Macaca mulatta: one gene and its partners. The protein of the gene in region 1 purifies or fractionates together with the protein of each later gene. This does not show direct contact. Links are inferred from orthologs where the notes say so. Each region holds a gene or a part of one and is shown on either strand. Other genes may lie near its edges.

Region 1 (3,500 bases):
GTTTATGATACTTGAAATATTTTCTAAAGATTTCCAAAATGGCAGCATTAAGATATATAATTTTGCATCTGAAGATACTTTGAGATACTTAAGTTTATGCAAGTAAATGTTAGAACATGAAAATTTTTCAGTTTCTTTCAGGGGAGAAACTTATGGAGCTCTTTTATATTTTGCATTGTTTTTAGCATATGCTGTGGAATTGGAGACCAGCAGAACAGGTGTTTGACAAAATATGATAATTACTTCCTTTGTTCATTCTACTTTAATTTAGGTTATTTACATGTGAAAGACCTAGATACTTTTATTCTCTTTTTTTAAAATGGGAGATAGTTTTTTTTTTTCCCTCAATGAGGATTATCAGATTTAAGACAATAAGTGTAATGTTTCTAAAACTACTGCTTTTTGCTTTTAAAAAAATTGCACGTTATCTCAATATGAAAACAATCACATTGGTAAATCTTTGGCTAATGCAATTGAAATTATTTTTTATGTTCCATTTCTTTTCCTTTTTTTTCAATTTTATCTGAAAGTTTAAATATTTTTAGGGTTTTCACTCAGTGGCCATTAACGTTTCTTCCTGTCTCTTGTCGAATTGATGTAGGTCATAATGATTACGGTTATCAGCAACCGTCGTATCCTGAACAAGGCTACGATAGGCCTTATGAGGATTCCTCACAACATTACTACGAAGGAGGTATCTATATACCTTCACACACATACACATATATATCCCCTTCTACAGGAATGAAAATTCTTGCATAAGACAACTTCTACCCATGCAAAGCTCTTGTAGAATACTAGTTGCTGGCTGTCTTGAAAGGTGCAGGGAGCCCAAAACAATCAAAATAATTTCCTTACAAATATTTAAAATGTATAACCATGACTTGCCATTTCTAACATTAATAAAAAGACTAAAACATTAAAGATAATTTTTTCCTCAGTGGAAATTTTCTATTTGAACATAAATCCATCCAACTTTTTTTTCTCGTGTGTGTTTACATATGTATAATTTTACATATAAGTATAGTGCCTTTAGGAAACAGCTTGCTGATCTCGTGTAGCTAGTGTGTGCTCTTGTAGCTGTCTTTAATTTTGTCTTTTTTATTTTATTTAGCATAGTCATGATCTTATGACTGTGATGTTCCAGTAAATGTAATGCTCGTATGGCAGAGACGCTGAAAATGCTGCAGTTCAACCTTGCAAAATTGGCTTTAACTGCAGTTTGTTTGGCCGAAATCCTTCTGTTTGGTTTGAGTTTTTTCTTTGTTTTGTTAACTTCTAAAAATCAATATGGCATTTCATTTTGTTCTTGTGTTGTTGGCTATGCATCTTAGAGGGAAAAAAGTTACTTAAGCAGACTTCTCAGTTTTTTTTCCTCTTCTCCAATTATCCTGTAGGAAATTCACAGTATGGCCAACAGCAAGATGCATACCAGGGACCACCTCCACAACAGGGATATCCACCCCAGCAGCAGCAGTACCCAGGGCAGCAAGGTTACCCAGGACAGCAGCAGGGCTACGGTAAAGCTTTGTACAGTTTATTTTTATCACGAAAACAATGTGGTGCTGATTGTTTTAAAATATGGAAGTGGATGTTTAATACTTATTTTTCCAAGAATTATCACTTGAAAATTCAGTTTTAGCCTAGTCTACTATTAAAATGTTGGTTTAAAATGTTGCTCTTAGATAAGCTAGTAATCCATTTAAAAAGAACTACAAATTGGAGATGGTTCATTGACTAAAGGTAAGGTGTGGAGTCATTTAAAAGACATGAAAAATGAATTATCAGACCTATTTGTCATGCCTAGCCTTGTGTGTGCTTGGAAAACTGATGATTGGATAATTATTGACCATATGTATATAATCTGCTTAGCAAATTTATTTTTAAAAACTAATGGCCAATACAGTTTTTTTAAAGATATACTGATTTTTTTTTTTTTGAGTAAAAATGAGATCTATTCAGAATGCATAATGAAAATGTTTTTGACATTCCCTAGTTAAATAGCAATATACATATCCATCGGGATGTATTATTGCAGCTATGTATCATACAGAATTTGGGGGAAGTGTAGCAATATTTTCCTATTATATACTCACTTACAATACCTACTACCTGGATATCTGACTAACTTAGGGAGTGGGGAATGATGAGGACCTAATATTTCAGCCTTAACTCTCAGGCTACTATAACCATTTTAGATATAACTCTTTTTAAAGGAAAGTAGCTGCTTACGAATACTGAATCCACCTCTTCCTAACCAGGGTCTCTTTTTTCACATAGGTAATATCTTATTATTTTTAGTCATTGACTTAAGCTCTGCCATTGCTGTGGACATCTCTGTCTACCTGTGATAGCAAATCTTAGAAATAAGGTCAGACTGAAATTCTCTTGCCCCCTCAGCGTATATGTTGAAACTCAGTCAGATATTGGGAGTCAGGTATTTTTCTAAAAATGTTAAATTCTGATTTCCAAATTCTAGATGTGACTTTAGAAATATTCCATGGGTTTTTTTCTTTCATAAAGGAACTTTCTTGCCCTTCCCAAACGGTCTTTTCATTTTGTGACTACTTAGTATTTATACTTTGAATAAATACAGTATTCTGGTTTGATTGCATTTGCATGAAAACAGATGTAATACAGCTAAATCAGGTCAATTCGTTGACTTAAGAGAAATACCTTCCAAATATCTTCAATGGTAAGAGAGGGTGAAAGAAAGCTTAATTTTTGTTAAAGTATGTTATAGTTAAATGCTATTTTGTTAGACATCAGGAATCCTAAGAGAAATTTCTGTTTTGTTTATCTATAGGCTTGTATTGTCAAAAAAACCTTTATTTCCACTAGAGATAAAGTTTTAATAAGTGAATATATAATTAATAAAAGATTGATATAATTTATTTAAGCTTGAAAACTTGTTCTCTTTTGACACTTTTCTCTGAAATCAGTGTTTTTATGGCAGGTTTTGAATGGCTATGATAGAAAACATTTAAGTGTCAAAGCTTTTCAGCTTATGGTTTGTTTTGTTTTGTTTTGTTTTTTTCCGACAGAATTGCACTCTTGTTGCATAGGCTGGAGTGCAGTGTTGCGATCTTGGCTCACTGCAACCTCTGCTTCCCAGGTTCAAGCGATTCTCCTGTCAGCCTCCTGAGTAGCTGGGATTACAGTCATGTGCCACCACACCCAGCTAATTTTTGTACTTTTAGTAGAGACGGGGTTTATTATATTGGTCAACCTGGTCTCAAACTCCTGACCTCAGGTGATCCGCCCACCTCAGCCTCCCAGAGTGCTGGGATTACAGGCGTAAGCCACTATATCCAGCCCAGCTTATGCTTTTTGAAGCATTCCTTACAATGGAAAGTAGTAGAGTTTATAAAACAGACATAATTGTTTAGCAAACCAAATCAGTCCCTTGCCATCTCTGGAATTTGTAATCATTTTTATGGATAAAGTAGTAAAGGTGATTAATTCTCAGTGTAACTTTTGAATCAAGTTTTTTCACATGT
Region 2 (4,130 bases), on another chromosome or scaffold:
GGGAACAGCAGGCAGGGCTTTGGGTGACGCATGCCTCTGGTCTAATAAACTGGGTTTCAACCATCTCCTCTTCAGTGTTGTTCACTTATTTGAAAACATATTTAGGTATTCTCACTAAGTGCCTAGAGCTGAGCTTGGTTTTGGGGCCAAACAATTAGGGGATGAGTAAGGAGAAGGTTTGAGTAGGGAGACTGTGGTCCTCCTGGGATGGGACGGCTGACCATCGTATCAGGAATAGTTTGAACCACTGGGCAGGGAAAGAGGGAGGAGTCAAAGGCAACAAAGGTCCAAAACAGAATCCCCATCACAAACAATGCTTTAGAGAGAGAGCAGAGTCAAAATTCAAGATAAACTGGAACTTATTATAAAATCTGAAAGCAGGCTGGCACGGTGGCTCACGCCTGTAATCCCAACACTTTGGGAGGCTGAGACGGGCGGATCACTTGAGGCCAGGAGTTCGAGACCAGCCTACGCAACATAATGAAACCCCCATCCCTATTTTTTAATATTAAAAAAAAATCTGAGGCCAGGCACAATGGCTCACACCTGTAATCCCAGCATTTTGGGAGGCTGAGGCGCGCAGACCACTTGAGCTTAGGAGTTTGAAACCAACATGGGCAACATGGTGAAACCCTGTCTCTACCAAAAATACAAAACAGCCTGGCATGGTGGTGCATGCCTGTGATCCCAGCTACTCGGGAGGCTGAGGTGGGAGGATCACTTGAGCCTGGGAGGCGGAGGTTGCAGTGAGCTGAGATGGTGCCACTGTGACAAAGAGAGACCTCATGTCGAAAAAATAATAATAATAATAATCCGGAAGCAGGTTAGGTCGGAGACAAAGTTAGGTTGAAGTTCCCACGTGAGGTAGTTATTGAGGCACTTTATCTGTGGAATGAGTCCTGGGCTATGAGCAAGAAGACCTGGAATCTTGGCTTCGGCTTTATGACTAACTTGCTGGTTGACCTTTGCCAAGTCGTTCACCTGTGAGTTCAGCTTTCCTATTTGGAAAATGGAATAAACTGTGTTTCCCTCCTCAGCCCCTGATAGTTATAGCAGTAAGAAAATGAAACGAAAAGCAATCAAAGCGTTTTGGGAAGTTAATGCCATGCGCCAAGATGAAGCTATTACTCCAAGCACCTCATCATCAGCGGGCTGGAGTCGGGGTTGAGACTGGGGCTGAGGCTGTGGTCCGTCCCCCTTTCCAGGTCCTTGTCTACCTCCCGTCGGCCTGGGGGCGCCCGCTCACGGGGCCTCTCTATCCCAGAGTTCTTCTCTATGGTTTTCCCTCCAGGACCGTGAAGGCGGGAGGGCGTGGCCAGCACGCCTTTTCCGCTACTCGCTCCTCTCTAGGCGACAGTCTCGCTGCCCTGAGCCTCCCGTGCCGGCCAGCCGGCCGGGGGAACAGGCGGGCGCTCGGGGGGCGCTCAGGGGGCGGGGGGAGTTCCGGTTCCGGTTCTTTGTGCAGCTGCATCGGCGGCTCCGGGAAGATGGCGGCCCGGGCGGGTTTCCAGTCTGTGGCTCCGAGCGGCGGCGCCGGAGCCTCGGGAGGGGCGGGCGCGGCTGCTGCCCTGGGCCCGGGCGGAACTCCGGGGCCTCCCGTGCGAATGGGCCCGGCTCCGGGTCAAGGGCTGTACCGCTCCCCGATGCCCGGAGCGGCCTATCCGGTGAGTGGGGCAGGAGGAGGGACGCGCGGGCCGGGGGCGGGGCCGAGCGGGGACGTGGGAGTGACAGGGGTGGGGGGAGAAGTAGGAGGGACTCCCTTGGGAGGGGTTCGGGCTCTGGGTGGGGGTTGGGGGAGGCAGTGCGCAGGAAGAGAGGGGGAGGCAGTTGGCGTCCACACCTGCTCCTAGGGGCATTGTTTCCGTGGGGAGTCGGTAGAGAACCAGGGTGGGTGAAGTGGGTCCAGGGATACCTGTACGAGGGCCGGAGTGCAGAGGGGCTTGAGCAGCTCCATTGATCAAAGGAACACAGAACGTGTAGTTGACAAATTGAGGTCAGCTTCTAAAGAGATAGTAGCTAGCAGAGTAAATGTGGAACTGGCGATGTCCGATGTGTCCGATCCAAAATAGACCGATAATTTGAGTATAATCTGGCTCTCGCTTAGCTTTTGGACTCTTTATTTTTCTGTGGAGTCACTGCTGGAGCAGAGGGTTCTCGTCTCATTGTCCTCCATTCCATCCGTAAACCTTACTTCATTCAAAGAACTCAGGCGTTCCCTGCTTTTCTTTCTTGGTGGGGTTTAGCAGGTGAAACCATGACATCTCTGGGTCCTCTCCCCTCTGTAGAGACCAGGTATGTTGCCAGGCAGCCGAATGACACCTCAGGGACCTTCCATGGGACCCCCTGGCTATGGGGGGAACCCTTCAGTCCGACCTGGCCTGGCCCAGTCAGGGATGGATCAGTCCCGCAAGAGACCTGCCCCTCAGCAGATCCAGCAGGTCCAGCAGCAGGCTGTCCAAAATCGAAACCACAAGTAAGATGATCCTGGGGCAGAGGGAGGGAGGGAGGGAGCCTGGGAGTACACAGGTGGTGGGATTACCTGAACCAAGAAGTGGTGGTGCTGTGTCAGCAGATGGTGCTACAGGATGATTGAGAATGCTTGGTGGTGGTGGTGGTGGTGGTGGTGGTGGTGGTGGTAGTTCTTTGATTTGAGAGAAGCTTTGCAATCCCTTCACATTACTATAAATGGACATGCTGACAGCTTATTTTCACGTTCTGACTAGTTCTGTCCCAACCTGATAATAGTGTTTATTCCCAACAGTGCAAAGAAAAAGAAGATGGCTGACAAAATTCTACCTCAAAGGGTGAGTCCAGGCTGTTTTCTGGAAAGTGTGGTAGGTTTGAGTATAGAGATGAATCATCCTAGATTTCAATTAATTTTTCTGTTCCTAAGATTCGTGAACTGGTACCAGAATCCCAGGCCTATATGGATCTCTTGGCTTTTGAAAGGAAACTGGACCAGACTATCATGAGGAAACGACTAGATATCCAAGAGGCCTTGAAACGTCCCATCAAGGTAACACAGGAAGTTACTAAGCAGAGAGCCAAAGGAGAGGACCCAGGAACCTTCAGCAGGCTTAGGATGAGAAATCAAAGGCACAGCACAACTCTCCTTGGCATTTAAATTGTATCTTTCCCTTCCGCCTACAAACTGAGAATTACATTAGGAGGATAAGAACAGAATGGCAAAGGGGGAGGGGCTCTTGATGTCTCTTGCACTACAAATATACCCTTGTCCATGTTTTTGCTGTAACTGCTCTGCTACCTTGGGAACCTGGCACCTTGCATGACTTTGTCCACCTGGCATCCCACTGTATGCACTTGTACTTAGGCTGATGGCCAGTACTCCTCTTCTAAATGGAATCTTCATCCACCCACCCAAGGGACTGGGTAGACAGTAAGCCAGTCTGTTAGGAATAATTTTGGGGTTTGGGGAGACTCTTGTCTTCAACATTAGACCACTGAAGCCCCACGATCAATCCTGTTTCTGCCTTCCTCAGCAAAAACGGAAGCTGCGAATTTTCATTTCTAACACTTTCAATCCGGCTAAGTCAGATGCCGAGGATGGGGAAGGGACGGTGGCTTCCTGGGAGCTTCGGGTAGAAGGACGGCTCCTGGAGGATGTGAGTTCAAGGTCCACAGTGGTTGGCATCTAGGGTGGGAGCTGCTGGGAATGAACAGTGTTGTCTGGTCAGCAGGAAGCCTAACTGGTGCTCACAGCTCCTTTTGGGAGCAGTAGGGAGAGGGACACTGTTCCCTGCACTGAAAGACAATGGTCCTTTGTGTTTGCCCCCACACCTTTGGCCTTCACTGGTATCATATGGAGAACCTTATTGTCCTGGGATCTGATTTGTGATTTACCTTCCTCTTGGTGCTGCTGGCCATTGGATTTAGCCGTATCTGTAGATTATTTAGTTTTTGTTTTGTTTTGTTTTTAGTCGAGTTTGCACTTAATTTGAGGCCGTGTTTCCTCTCTGAGTTCTTGTGGTATCTCCATCTTCTCAACTTTCATTGGAGGCACCCCATAGTTTTAAGTAGGATAGATTTCTCTTGACAGGCTCTTTGTTGCTTCCTGGGGAGCATCAGCTGACAGGTGATAGCCCCCAAACTTCCCAACCCAGAAGCTCCTC
Region 3 (2,227 bases), on another chromosome or scaffold:
GGAGGAGGAGGACAGGGAGGAGGACGCCCGGGCCCAGGTGACCGAAGGGGAGCCGCCTGCCCCGCCATGCCGGATCACAAGCTTGGTGGGCAGGTGTGGAGGGGGCTGGGCGGAGGCCCCGGGAGCTGAAGACGACGGGGGGCCGTGGCCGGGGAGCCGATGACCCTCAGAAGAGGCTGCAACGGGGAGGCCGAGCGAGCGGGAGGAAGACACGTACTCGTCTGCAGAATCGGGGCAAAGAAAACCCACGGGGTTAGGTTGAGGCCCCCGCGACCGAGCTGGGAGGAGCTGTGTGCAAAGCACCTACCCCCTGCCAGGCACCAGACCGCACCCTGGACCCTCCAATCCTCAGGACAGGCTGGGTGAGACCCTCTTCAGCAAGGCCCAAATTCCCCCAACTCCAAACCACTGTGTCTGGCACAGCAGCCACGAGCCACGTGGGGCTCATTCAGACTTAACTGAATTAAGAGACTATAAAACAAGGCTCATGCCTGTAATCCCAGCATTTGGGAGGCCAATGCAGGGGGATCGCTTGAGCCCAGGAGTTTGAGACCTTCCTGGGCACAGTAGTGAGACCCCTGTCTCTACAAACAAATAAATAAATAAAATATAAAAGTTCTATTGGACAGCATTGCTCTAATTATATACATAACTTTTTAAAAATGGGGTTAAGAAGTATCTAATTTCAGCCGGGCGCGGTGGCTCACGCCTCTAATCCCAGCACTTTGGGAGGCCGAGGCAGGCGGATCACAAGGTCAGGAGATCGAGACCACAGTGAAACCTCGTCTCTACTAAAAATACAAAAAAAATTAGCCGGGCGCGGTGGCGGGTGCCTGTAGTCCCAGCTTCTCGGGAGGCTGAGGCAGGAGAATGGCATGATCCCAGGAGGCGGAGCTTGCAGTGAGCCAAGATCGCGCCACTCACTCCAGCCTGCGGGACAGAGCGAGACTCCATCTCAAAAAAAAAAAAAAGAAGTATCTAATTTCAAAATCTGGTCTGAAATGACATGAGGTGTTTTTGTTGTTGTTATTGTTGTTGTTTTTGAGACAGAGTCTCATTCTGTTGCCCAGGCTGGAGTGCAGTGGCGTGATCGCAGCTCACTGCAACCTCTGCCTCCTGGGTTCAAGTGATTCTCCTGCCTCAGCCTCCCAAGTAGCTGGGATTATAGGTGCCAGACACCATGCCCAGCTAATTTTTGTATTTTTAGTAGAGACAGGGTTTCACCACATTACCCAGGCTGGTCTCGCATTCCTGACCTCAGGTGATTCGCCAGCCTCAGCCTCCCAAAGTGCTGGGATTACAGGTGTGAGCCACCACACCCGGCTACATGAGGTTATTTATGGTCTTGATTTATCCCAACTACTCTGGATACCCATCGATGTCACTCCAGAAGTGTGTTTGATCATAGAGTGCCTCCCCAAACCCACTGGGGGTAAACCAGAAGACAGCATCTAGGTAGCTCATCGCCTTTCTAAAAGCAAGGATTCCAGAACATATCGGGCCCCAATGGTGTCAGATAAAGGACTGTAAACTGATCATCAAAACCCCCACTTTACAAAATGAGAACACGGAGACACAGAGAAGGTAAGTAACTTGCCCAAGGTCACACAGTCAGTAAGTGGCAGAGCCAGGATTTGAACCAAGAATCCAGCATCGAGCCCCTAACCACCGAACTATCCTTCCTCTCCTACCCTAGAGACTTCAGACTCGCTCCCGGCCCCTCCTTCACTATGGCCCCCCCTTTGCACCCATTTAAGTACCAATGACTACTTTTTCAAAATTCAGGTCCAGAGCTCGAGGTGAAAAGCCTGGGCCTGGCAGCAGAAAGCAGGGACCATGTTTTTTTAATGGAAGCTCTGGAGTTGGAATGCAGGTGAGGGCTAAGGGAATATTCTAAAAACTCTGGCAGCTGGGAACTGCCTGTACCGTTTCCTGCAGACAGGAGACTAGAGTGAGGCCAGCGAGCCGCCTAAGGTGCAACACTTAAGGAGGCACTCACTCTCAGAGTCCCCAAAGGACTGGCACCCAAGAGTGGGCGCTATCTCATATACTTTGCAACCTAGGAGCCTGCTCTCCCATTTTCTGTCCCATGGGGGTAGCAGAATATTCCCCCCATCCTAGGGTGTCGGGGTTCGTGAAAGGGACACACAGGGATGGAGGAAGATGGATGTGGGCTCTCTGGTCTGGGAGGCGGCAGGTCAAGGGAGGCCCAGCCGCAGTAGGAAGG
Region 4 (2,986 bases), on another chromosome or scaffold:
ACCACACAGAACAGGCATAATCCAGGAATGTTCTGGGCACTCCGGGATGTTTGTGTTGTCTGTAGGTTGGTGATAGTCTTATCACCTATACAGATACCTCCCTTGTGATTACTCATTGCTATCTATTTCATTTGCTTTGGTTTTAGCAAAATCAGTCAAGGTGAAAATTAAGCTCAATAAAAAAGATGAGAAAGGCCGGGACAAAGGAAAAGGCAAGAAAAGGCCAAATCGAGGAAAAGCCAAACCTGTAGTGAGCGATTTTGACAGCGATGAGGAGCAGGATGAACGTGTAAGTGTAGCTGACTGGGACTGAAGGCGGAGGCGCCCTCTCCACTGCTCGCTGGCCTCTTGCATTTCCATGCCCCTTCAGCCTTTTCACTTTATTACCTAGGAGTGGAAATGTCAGGATTTAGTGAGATTTCATTATTGAGGGATGTGAATGGAGCTGTATGATTTAGAACAAAGAATTGGGGGCTTTGTTTATTGCTTTTTTAATAGTCTTCAAAAATGAAAAACTACTAAATCAAACTCTTTTCCCCCTTTTTAATCTTCCCACATGCTTGCTTATAAATATGGTTTTCCCCATAGCCAGTTAATATTTTATATCCATCACACCCAGCATAGCGCCTAGGTACATAGCAGTAGATTAGATAGAAGAATAAGAAAAAGTGATATGACGTCAGAGTTACTGGCTCGAGTTGCTACTTAAGGGACCGTGTAAAAAGTCAAATGACTTTTTTAAGTACCTAGGGGTGTTATTTTTAATATTTGAAAAATGCAGTGAGCATCTATTGAGCCAGGCCTTGTAATATAGGTACCTCACTGTGTGGTAGCTTATTAAATACTGATGTCAGCATCATGAGATAGATGTCACTCTCAAAAAACATGTTACAGAAATGGTTAGGTTATGTGTGTTTTGCTACAGATCACGTAGCAGAGGTGGGATGCGGACCCAAGTAGAATAATTCAGTCTAGTGTGCTATGCCTGACTGGGCAGCAAGGTAGAAGAGTGGGCAGAAGCTCCTAATACCTTGCCTTTTGAAATACCCTTCATTTCATCCATGCACTTTCCAGAAGATGGCTTCCTGGCACCCACATTCTTTGCTTTCTGGAAAGATAAATTTCCCTTTTTGTGTATGTGCTAGTTTGATTTTCCTTCAACACATTACCATTTTGGTAAAATTTCAGACTTATGATCTCACCCCAGCCTTAACCCTTGATGCAAACATTTTCAAATACATTTAAAATACTGTATTTTCTTTAGGAGATATCAAATGCAGGGTATTTTTTTTCTCCCATGAATTTTCTAAAACCTAGGACTGAAAAAGAGAAAGTATTAGCCATAAACCTTTCAAGCCGAAGTGAAAGGGCACAAACACCAGCTTAGAGGGTGGGCTTTGCTTTGGGGTTTTCAGTAAGAAAAACTTCTCAGCTTCGAGGCTGTCGATGCCTCTTTAATGTGTTTCTGTCCTTCCACGGAAAGAGATTTGGCGGGTTGTTTCCAAAATGTCATTTTTTTCCTAATGGCCTCTTGATGGTTTGTTTTGTTTTATGTATTCTTTTTCTTGCATGTGATGTTACTTCATTTTATCTTATTTTTACTTGTAGGAACAGTCAGAAGGAAGTGGGACGGATGATGAGTGATCAATATGGACGTTTTTCCTTGGTAGAACTGAATTCCTTCCTCCCCTGTCTCATTTCTACCCAGTGAGTTCATTTTGTCATATAGGCACTGGGTTGTTTCTATATCATCATCGTCTATAAACTAGCTTTAGGATAGTGCCAGACAAACATATGATATCATGGTGTAAAAAAAAAAACACACATACACAAATATTTGTAACATATTGTGACCAAATGGGCCTCAAAGATTCAAAGATTGAAACAAACAAAAAAGCTTTTGATGGAAAATATGTGGGTGGATAGTATATTTCTATGGGTGGGTCTAATTTGGTAACGGTTTGATTGTGCCTGGTTTTATCACCTGTTCAGATGAGAAGATTTTTGTCTTTTGTAGCACTGATAACCAGGAGAAGCCATTAAAAGCCACTGGTTATTTTATTTTTCATCAGGCAATTTTCAAGGTTTTTATTTGTTCGGTATTGTTTTTTTACACTGTGGTACATATAAGCAACTTTAATAGGTGATAAATGTACAGTAGTTAGATTTCACCTGCATATACATTTTTCCATTTTATGCTCTATGATCTGAACAAAAGCTTTTTGAATTGTATAAGATTTATGTCTACTGTAAACATTGCTTAATTTTTTTGCTCTTGATTTTTAAAAAAGTTTTGTTGAAAGCGCTATTGAATATTGCAATCTATATAGTGTATTGGATGGCTTCTTTTGTCACCCTGATCTCCTATGTTACCAATGTGTATCGTCTCCTTCTCCCTAAAGTGTACTTAATCTTTGCTTTCTTTGCACAATGTCTTTGGTTGCAAGTCATAAGCCTGAGGCAAATAAAATTCCAGTAATTTCGAAGAATGTGGTGTTGGTGCTTTCCTAATAAAGAGATAATTTAGCTCGACAAATGCAGCCTGTTTCTTTGAATTCTAGAGGATTGACACCCTTGTGCCTGAAGTGGCAGTTTTCTGTAGAGGGTTGGGCAGGCTCTTGCTACAGAACACTTGATAGGGAAAAAGAGAGCTTGAGAGAGCCAGTCTCCTTGGTGTGGTCCAACTGTGTCACCAGGGGCACCTGTTGCACCTATGACTTTAAACTATTAAACAGCAGAAGAGATGCTGCCATGGGCCAAGCCATATGAAGTCCCTGCCCAGCCTTAAATTCTGTTTCTTAGTTGGAAAATCTATATTGCTATTTATGTCTTTTGATTTTGAAAGATTTCAGAAATATTCCATTGAAAGACTGGTTCAGTGAACACCTATATACCCTCCACCTGAGATTCAACAATAATATTTCATCCTTACCCTGTTTTAATAAACCATCGGAAAATAAGTTGCCGTCATTATGATACTTTGCAC
Region 5 (4,022 bases), on another chromosome or scaffold:
GAAAACTATAAAAAATATCTGGGGTGCTATGATGCAAGAAAGGAAGCATTACTTGGTGGGGGCTGAAAAATAAACCAATTATAGTAAAGAAAAAAAAAAAAAAGTCTAGATCCTGGCTTCTTGACAGTATGGTCTAAGAAGCAACAGCATCGCTGGCAGCTTGTTAGAAATGTAGAGTCCTGGGCCCTGCCACAATCTGCATTTTTAATAAGAGCCTCGGGTGTTTTTTATGTGCTCATTAGGGTTTAAGCAGCACTGGGCCGTATCACGGTGAGGAGACCCAGACCATCAAAGGGACAGCTGAAGCATTTTTGAATACTTTGATACAGCACAGTGTATCTGAAAAGATACTGCATTTTTGAAAATTAAGTGCTATAAATACTAGAGAAAGACCTCTTTTTAAACTGCGGGGAGGTTTCTCATAAGCCAAATTTCTTTTGACTAGAAGCATTTGCTGGGGAGTAAAGTACCAGGCTTCCTTATAGTGAGGCAGAGCCACGTTAAAAATGTGCTGTAAGAGCTCAGCCTTGGCCAAGTCGACCATTCACCAGCTGGGTCAAGTCTGGAGCCTCCTAGGTCCCTTGGCAGTTCCGAGCTACCAGGATGAGCTTTTACAGGAAGTTGAGTTGGCTGCTGTTCTGCCCCAGAGAGCAGCTGAGTCTTTTTTCTTTTTTTGAGGAGTTTCACTCTTGCCGCCCAGGTTGGAGTGGAGTGGAGAGATCTCGGCTCATTGCAACCTCTGTCTCCCGGGTTCAAGCGATTCTCCTGCCTCAGCCTCCCGAGTAGCTGGGATTACAGGCGCCAGCCACCACTCTCGGCTAATTTTTGTATTTTTAGTAGAGACGGGGTTTTCACCATGTTGGCCAGGCTGGTCTCGAACTTCTGACCTCAGGTGGTCCACCCGCCTCAACCTCCCAAAGTGCTGGGATTACAGGCGTGAGCCACCGCTACCGACTCTGAGTTGGGTCTTTAATGTGGAAGATGCAGAAAGGAGACTTGACAAAACTATTTTCGGTGAGGCTGCTACACCGGGAAAGAGTAGTAGCAACTGCTCATTCACTGTGAAGCCTCAACGTGACCTTAGACCTCTGACCCCGCGCCTCACTCGGCGCTTCCGCGCGCAGCTTCCGCTCCCGCCCCTCCGATGAAGGGCGGGGCCAAAGGTGGGGGGTGGGACTCTGAGGTCGGCGGTTAGGGGCGGTGCCTGCTGGGGGCGGGTCTCGCGAGGGGCGGGATTCAAGGAGGCACTCGAGCATTGGGCACCAGGTAGAGGCGGGGCCTAGTGCTGGGCTGGGTTGGGCGGGGCAGGGAGTTCGTAGCCGCCTCTGGGTAACTCGACTCGGGCGGCCAAACCTCCGGAGTCCGGGGGCGGCAGGCGGGCCCACAGCAGATCCTGGATCCGGAATCTCCGGCGCAGGAGCGGAATCTGTCCCGAACCGGGTCTGTGAGGAACTCGCGAACTTGGATTAGGAAATCCCGGAGCCCGGATCGACAAATCCCGGAACCCGGAATTAAGATCGCCAAGTCCCGGATCGCGGAGTACAGAGCGCGGAGTGGACTCGACGCGTAGCCCGGAGTCCGGATCGCGGCACCGCGGGACGGGACGGAGCGATGTCGGGCCGAGGCGCGGGCGGGTTCCCGCTGCCCCCGCTAAGCCCTGGCGGCGGCGCCGTGGCCGCGGCCCTGGGAGCGCCTCCTCCCCCCGCCGGACCCGGCATGCTGCCCGGACCGGCGCTCCGGGGACCGGGTCCGGCTGGAGGCGTGGGGGGCCCCGGGGCCGCCGCCTTCCGCCCCATGGGCCCCGCGGGCCCCGCGGCGCAGTACCAGGTGAGTAGGGAGGACGCGAGCGGACGGGGGCGTGCGGCGCCGCGAGGGCGCCCGGGCCGGGGGCTGAGGGGGCCTCGAGTGAGGGCCTTGGGGAATGCATGAGGAACTTTGGGAGACGGTGGAGGGCGGGCCAGATCCCTCGGGCTGCGGCGGGTGGCGGTGGAGGAGTGGGGAAGGGGGAGCGAGTCCTGCAGCGGAGGGCTGGAACCAGCTGGGAGGCCTGGGGGCTTCCGCGGCACAGAGATTCCGAGTGACTGGGAGATGGAGGAGTTTGGGGAACCAGTGAATTGTGGGCGGGTGGGTTGAGAAGTCTAGGGTAGGAGGGCTAGAAAGTGATGAGAAAGTTTGGGAAAGGGCCCTCGCTGAGAAACCGGGGTTACCCTGCATCGGCCTTGGTCCCACTCCAAGTCTGCCCTGTTTTTTCTGGTTGCGAACTGGCCGAGCTCTAGCGTGTCTGAGATGGCTCCCGGCTGCTAATGAGGAGGAAGGAGCCTGGCTTCCCACGGGCACGGGACGCTGAGGCTAGGGCCAGGGGATTCATTCCAGCTTGTGCACGGGCGGACTTTACTCCAGAGGCAGGGCCAGGCGCCTTCGCTGGGGAGGACTCCAGCTTAGACCAGAGACGGTGGTGGCCAGGCTTGAGGGGAGGCCCAGCCTAGTCACAGGCCGGCTCTCTTCTGGGCTTTCTGCCTCCTGTCATCGTGTCGGGTAGTTGATTAGTCTGGACGTGCAGAGTGGAACCCTGCTGGTCTGGGGCCCGAGGAGTCTGCGAGAGTTGCTTCAAAGAGTGCTGTCCTGACCCCTTTGGGGTTTTGAGAGCTGCTCAGGTTTCAGCTTCAAAAGCCCTTGGAAGGCAGCGACTTCTGCTCAGTGTGTGAGAACCTCAGCCTGACCCTGCTGGTCCCCTAGTCTGCTGTTCAGGTTGCACCAGCAGGCTTGGAAACTGTGCCCATCTGCCTTATCATCCTCTCTGCATTTTTATTTGGCCTTCAGGTTCTAACTCCGCCACATCCGAAGCCATATGCCCCAGCATTTGACACTGGCTTCTCCCAGGGTCTGCTGTGGGCTTCCTCTGTTTTCGACTCCTGTCTCCAGGCGGAGGTCCTTAGGGATCCTCGTGGAGTATACACAGCCTACCTGCCCCACTGGGCCTCACATCTAAGGAGATGGCTTAACTAGGGACAGTGACTGGATTTTTTTCCCTTCTTCCTCCTCATTCTTCCTCCTTTCTCAAGAGAAAACAGAGTCTGGATATGGGCAGAGACAGACCTGGTCCCAGGGACTCCAGCTGGGGCTCATCTTTCCCACCCTACTCTCCCCCTTGGGGATTCATGGGCCCAGGGTGTTGCTGAGGGCTCCCTGCATCAGTCATTGTAGCCCTTGGGCCTGCCCACTGAGACCTGGCCTGGGCACCATCTGTGGGCCTTTGGCCTTGGAAGGACCTGGAACAGACAAGCCGCTCCAGTTTCCTTGGCATGCAAAAAGTCATAGGAAATGTGCCCTTGAGACAGCCCCTAAGAGAATGGATTCCACATGTTTGGTGGGGGGTGGCCTTGGGCTTGTGGCAAGGCCAAGCTGGCTGGCTGGTTAGGCCTGGGCTGCTAGCTGTGGGGAAGTAGGAGATGGCCCTGAGTCTGGGTTTCCCATCCCACTAGCTTTCCTCCTCCTGGCAGGAGAGGTAGATGGTACAGAGAACCCAGCCAGCTAACTTTGGCTGAGTTTGAAGAGGATCCTACTTGCTCTCTTTCCAAGTCCAGTTGTATGACTTCCAGGGGGGACTTGAGATCTGGGAAACAGAGGGGTTCCTGTCTGTTAGGGCTCATGAGATGTGCTGGAAAAGCGAGAATTTGAGGCCCAAGCTGAACAAATAGTTGAAAGAAGGGAAGTGATGACCTCCCTTCCTCCAGAGGGTGGTTCTGGCTGTGGATCACAGTTAACAGAGGAACCTAAAACAAAAACAACAACAAAAAACCCTCCAGGGCAGGATGTGGTGGCTCACACCTATAATCCTAGCACTTTGGGAGGCCCAGACAGAAGGATTACTTGAGATCAGGAGTTCAAGACCAGCCTAGGCAACATAGTGAGACCATAATTTCTCAAAAAAAAAAACCCAAAAAAATTTAGCCAAACTTGGTGGTGTGCGCTTATGGTCCCAGCTAGTCGGGATGCTGTGGCAGGAGGATTGCCTGAGTCCA
Region 6 (4,024 bases), on another chromosome or scaffold:
CTGTAGTCCCAGCACTTTGGGAGGCCGAGGTGGGCGGACCACCTGAAGTCAGGAGTTCGAGGCTGGCAAAACATGGCGAAACCCCATCTCTATTAAAAATATAAAACTAGCCGAGCATGGTGGTTCATGCCTATATTCCCAGCTACCCAGGAGGCTGAGGCAGGAGAACTGCCTGAACCTGGGAGGTGAAGGTTGCAGTGAGCCAAAATTGTGCCATTGCACTCTAGCCTGGGCAAGAGTGAAACTCAAAGGAAAAAAAGAAAAGAAAAGAAAAAAACCCAACCATGTAAAGTGTTTACCAGGGCGCCTGGCACACAGTAAGAGCTCAATAAATACTGTTGTTATTCCTGTTATTATTAATCACCCCTATGACTATCACTATTATTTATTCACTCAACAGATATTTACTGAGCACCTACTCTGTGTCCCATATTATTCTGAGAATACAGTAGTGAACAAGATCACATAGGGCCAAGCACAGTGACTTACGCCTATAATCCCAGCACCGTGGGAGGCTGAGACAGAAGGATCATTTCAGGCCAGGAGTTCGAAACCAACCTTGGCAACATAGCGAGACCCTAACTCTACAAAAAATTTAAAAGTTAGCTGGGTGTGGTGGCACACACCTGTAGTCCCCAGCTACTTGGGAGGCTGGGGCCAGAGGATCCCTTGAGCCCAGGAGTTTGAGGCTGCAGTGAGCTATGATTGCACCAGTGCACTCCAGCCTGGGTGACAGAGAACTTCTCTCTAAAAAAATAAAGGGGGGGGCGGGTATGGGTGTGATGGCTCACACCTGTAATCCCAGCACTTTGGGAGGCTGAAGATGGAGGATCGCTTGAGTGAGTGAGTTTGAGACCAGCCTGGGCAACATGGTGAAACCTTGCCTCTACAAAAAATACAAATGGCATATGCCTGTGGTCCAAGCTACTTGGGAGGCTGAGGCGGGAGGATCGCTTGAGCCCAGGAAGTTCAAGGCTGCAGTGAGCTATGATCACACCACTGCACCACTCCAGCCTAGGTGACACAGTGAGACCCTGTCTCAAAAAAAAAAAAAAAAAAAAAAAAAGGATTAATATGGGCCCAACATTCAGGAAACTGACATGAGAGTGAGGAGAAAGATAGTAAAAAATTAATTTACATGAAAGTCTCAGACAGTGATATGTCATCTATAGATCCTAAGAGACCAGAGGAATGAGACAGCAACTACAGAGACATTCTGCAGGAGTCGGAAGGCACCTTGAGGAAGGTGCACAAGATGGGGAGCAGGTATAGGGATAAGCTGGTAGGTTAGACTCTGGAGAAGACAGGACTTAGAGGAGAGGGCTCCTGGGAGGTACCTGGTCCTACCTCTCTCTTGGCCCAGCCGTGGGGGCTGAGCCTCCTCAGGGACCCCTTCTGGGGGTCCGGCAGGTGACACAGGGCGGCTGGGCTGGGGGGTGCCCCCAGGACTGGGCTCTGTGCCCTTTTGCAGGGAACCTTCCGAATGGAAACTCTGGTTGCTGTTCTCATCTGTGGGAGCAAGAGCCGAGATGGTTGGCCTGAGATCCCTAATACACTCCTTCAGTCCCCACAGCCCTCCGCATTTCAGGATCCCTACCTACCATTGAGATCCAGCAGGATGAGAGGGCCACCCCCTCGGGGACTGGCGCCCCTGCCCCGACGTTCCCGGCCACGGGATCTCTCTGCCCCGCCACCTGCCCGCCTTCGCTCCTGGGGGTTAGAGGATTAGGGTCAGAGCTCTTGGAAAGCCCCACCATACACCTAAGGAAACTGAGGCACTGAGAAGCAAAAGGGCTCGAACTCAGGGTGTGGAACAGAAAAGAGGGAAAAAGGGGAGGAGCTGCTAATGATGGTTCCCATCTGTCTGTCCTGCTGCATCTGAGGTCTCTGGGAGCTGGAGGTAGAGGTCAGGGTGGGGAGGAGCTTGCCTGAGGTTGCACAGATGCAGGGCCTTGTGGGAATGGGGGTTGCTCACCTCCTCCTGGGGGTCCACCACTGGCACCCACTTGAAGATACGAAGGGAAGTGTCGCCCACAGTCACCCATCGCTTCTCCCTGTGGGAGGGTGGGGGACTGGGTCAGAGAGGCCTGAGGGGAGACCCACCCCCCCAGGAGCCGGACACATCTGGGGGTACCTGCAGAGGTTGGGGAGGCACAGGAGGGTAGCAACAGTTTTGCTAATGGGGCATAGTTACATGGAGAAAGAGAGCCCTGCAAACCCCAGGGCACAGGCGGTGGGTGCCTCTAGACAGAGGATATGATTTGGGCCCTGGCTCTGCGGACCCCTGGGGCACACACGGGGGGCGTGGCTATGGGCCTGGCCCGGGATCAGAGACCTGCAGATCTCGGGGCGCACTTGCAGAAGGAGTGTCAAAGCTTTAGGGGGCGGGGCACAAACGGGGGCTCCCACTCTGGGAGAGCACGACTGGGGACCACGCTTTGTAGACCCCCAGGAGTAGCCAGGGGAACGGGGACAGATCCAGGGCAAAGCTAGTGGGCGGGGATACAGCGAACACCGGGGCCCAGAGCTGGCGAGGGCAGCTTAGACGCCTTAGGTGGTGGTGGTCCCGCCGTGTCCCGTCCCTGGCCCCCGGGCAGCGCTCACCATCTCCGGACCTTCTCGATGGTCGCCATCACCTTCTTGATGTCATCCTTGGCCCGGCTCCGGGTCTCGGCCCGTACGGTCCGGCCGGCCATGCTGGCGGGGCTGGGGCCGGAGCCGAGCCCGCGGCGGGGCCGCCTCCCGTCCGGCGGGCTCAGGCTCGGCGCCAGGCCCGGGCGCCGCGCTCTCGGCCTGCCGTCCCCCCGGGAGTTGGCCGCGCCCTCTCTCGTCCCCAACGCCTCCGCGAGTCCCCGCCCCGTTTCCTGCCGCCGTGCCCCGCCCCGGCCCGTCCCCGGAGCGGCCCGGTGGCGCGGGCGGCCAGAGCCCAGGCCTGGAAGCCCGGCCGGCCCCGCCCCGACCCGGGCCCGCCCCCTCGGAGCGCCTGGACGCGCAGCGCCCCCTGCCCGCCGTCGAGAGCGGGAGTTGGGTACTGCTCGGCTGCCGGACGCGCGAGGCAGGGCCGAGGCGGTGCGTTCAGACCACGTGGGCGCGGGGTGCTCGAGAGGGTCTGTGTCCTGGGGTGCGTGCGCCGCGGTGGGTGTCCGCGAAACGCTGTGTGTGGAGTGCGTGCGTGTGTCCGCCCTCGCCAGGCTCTCGGTCTACACCGCCCAACACTCATTCATCCATTCATTCAACAGTCCTGTTAACTGAGCGCCAATTACGCGCCAGGCGCTGCGAATACGAGTAGGTCTCTACCCACCAGAATGGCTAAAGTGAAAAAGACCGCACCATGTGGAGGCGAGAAAGTAGAGCGACTGAACCTCTCTTGTATTTCTGGGGGAGTGTAAATTGGTAGAGACGTTTTGAGAACTGGCAGTTTTCTAGTGAAGCCGAACATATGCCACCTCTGTGATCCAGCAATTCCACTCCTAGGCTGTCAACACCCAGCAGAAATGTGTAGGTGTGAGCACCAAGAGGGTGCTTGGGAACGTTCAGAGCCCTTTCATAACAGCCCCAAACTGGAAATAACCCATCAACAGAATGGAAAATGAATGATGCCCTACTCATTACCATGCACATAGACACAGCAACGGGAGTGACATGCCCGGCTACACCCAGCAACATAGACAAGTCGCATGACGAAATCTTGAGTGACAGAAGCCAAATACAACAGTACATACTAGATGGTTCCAGGTGTATTACGTTCAGAACCAGACAAAACTAATTTAAAGTGCACCAAAGTCAAGATAGTGGTCGCCCTTAGGATTGGGAGGGGATGAGGGGAGAGCTTCTGGGAGCTGATCCAGTTCTGTTGTGTGATCCGGTGCTGGTTCCCTGGGCATATGTACTCTGTGAAAATCCATCACATGACTTAAATAAAATGTGCATTACTTAAAGAAAGTGAGTGTGTCTTGGTTGACTTTATTTGAGGCTGGCTTGTCAGCAGATAAGACCATGTCAAAATTTGTGCTGCTGTGTGTGT

The links.
Region 2: the proteins of SS18 (region 1) and SMARCD1 purify together in Homo sapiens (affinity purification with mass spectrometry; 5 studies listed by BioGRID and IntAct, counting the BioPlex papers as one, with this or other methods). This does not show direct contact. The link is inferred for Macaca mulatta from reciprocal best matches to the Homo sapiens genes SS18 and SMARCD1.
Region 3: the proteins of SS18 (region 1) and BICRA purify together in Homo sapiens (affinity purification with mass spectrometry; 3 studies listed by BioGRID and IntAct, counting the BioPlex papers as one, with this or other methods). This does not show direct contact. The link is inferred for Macaca mulatta from reciprocal best matches to the Homo sapiens genes SS18 and BICRA.
Region 4: the proteins of SS18 (region 1) and SMARCA2 purify together in Homo sapiens (affinity purification with mass spectrometry; 6 studies listed by BioGRID and IntAct, counting the BioPlex papers as one, with this or other methods). This does not show direct contact. The link is inferred for Macaca mulatta from reciprocal best matches to the Homo sapiens genes SS18 and SMARCA2.
Region 5: the proteins of SS18 (region 1) and SMARCD2 purify together in Homo sapiens (affinity purification with mass spectrometry; 4 studies listed by BioGRID and IntAct, counting the BioPlex papers as one, with this or other methods). This does not show direct contact. The link is inferred for Macaca mulatta from reciprocal best matches to the Homo sapiens genes SS18 and SMARCD2.
Region 6: the proteins of SS18 (region 1) and BCL7C purify together in Homo sapiens (affinity purification with mass spectrometry; 3 studies listed by BioGRID and IntAct, counting the BioPlex papers as one, with this or other methods). This does not show direct contact. The link is inferred for Macaca mulatta from reciprocal best matches to the Homo sapiens genes SS18 and BCL7C.

Annotation. Positions count from the first base shown.
Region 1 is NC_133423.1:66,374,457-66,377,956, forward strand, and holds part of SS18 (protein SSXT), read left to right. Parts: intron 1-601; coding exon of another isoform or gene 602-694; intron 695-1,397; coding exon 1,398-1,520; intron 1,521-3,500. UniProt on the Homo sapiens protein: Appears to function synergistically with RBM14 as a transcriptional coactivator. Isoform 1 and isoform 2 function in nuclear receptor coactivation. Isoform 1 and isoform 2 function in general transcriptional coactivation.
Region 2 is NC_133416.1:57,257,564-57,261,693, forward strand, and holds the start of SMARCD1 (SWI/SNF-related matrix-associated actin-dependent regulator of chromatin subfamily D member 1), read left to right. Parts: upstream 1-1,330; 5' UTR 1,331-1,487; coding exon 1,488-1,664; intron 1,665-2,285; coding exon 2,286-2,473; intron 2,474-2,761; coding exon 2,762-2,804; intron 2,805-2,893; coding exon 2,894-3,016; intron 3,017-3,500; coding exon 3,501-3,623; intron 3,624-4,130. UniProt on the Homo sapiens protein: Involved in transcriptional activation and repression of select genes by chromatin remodeling (alteration of DNA-nucleosome topology).
Region 3 is NC_133424.1:60,201,307-60,203,533, reverse strand, and holds part of BICRA (BRD4-interacting chromatin-remodeling complex-associated protein), read right to left. Parts: intron 222-2,227; coding exon 1-221. UniProt on the Homo sapiens protein: Component of SWI/SNF chromatin remodeling subcomplex GBAF that carries out key enzymatic activities, changing chromatin structure by altering DNA-histone contacts within a nucleosome in an ATP-dependent manner.
Region 4 is NC_133420.1:97,273,487-97,276,472, reverse strand, and holds the end of SMARCA2 (SWI/SNF-related matrix-associated actin-dependent regulator of chromatin subfamily A member 2), read left to right. Parts: intron 1-146; coding exon 147-289; intron 290-1,608; coding exon 1,609-1,644; 3' UTR 1,645-2,486; downstream 2,487-2,986. UniProt on the Homo sapiens protein: ATPase involved in transcriptional activation and repression of select genes by chromatin remodeling (alteration of DNA-nucleosome topology).
Region 5 is NC_133421.1:73,636,762-73,640,783, reverse strand, and holds the start of SMARCD2 (SWI/SNF-related matrix-associated actin-dependent regulator of chromatin subfamily D member 2), read left to right. Parts: upstream 1-1,222; 5' UTR 1,223-1,611; coding exon 1,612-1,905; intron 1,906-4,022. UniProt on the Homo sapiens protein: Involved in transcriptional activation and repression of select genes by chromatin remodeling (alteration of DNA-nucleosome topology).
Region 6 is NC_133425.1:29,522,544-29,526,567, forward strand, and holds the start of BCL7C (B-cell CLL/lymphoma 7 protein family member C), read right to left. Parts: upstream 2,801-4,024; 5' UTR 2,697-2,800; coding exon 2,605-2,696; intron 2,055-2,604; coding exon 1,976-2,054; intron 1,711-1,975; coding exon 1,602-1,710; intron 1,510-1,601; coding exon 1,348-1,509; intron 761-1,347; exon of another isoform or gene 164-760; intron 1-163. UniProt on the Homo sapiens protein: May play an anti-apoptotic role.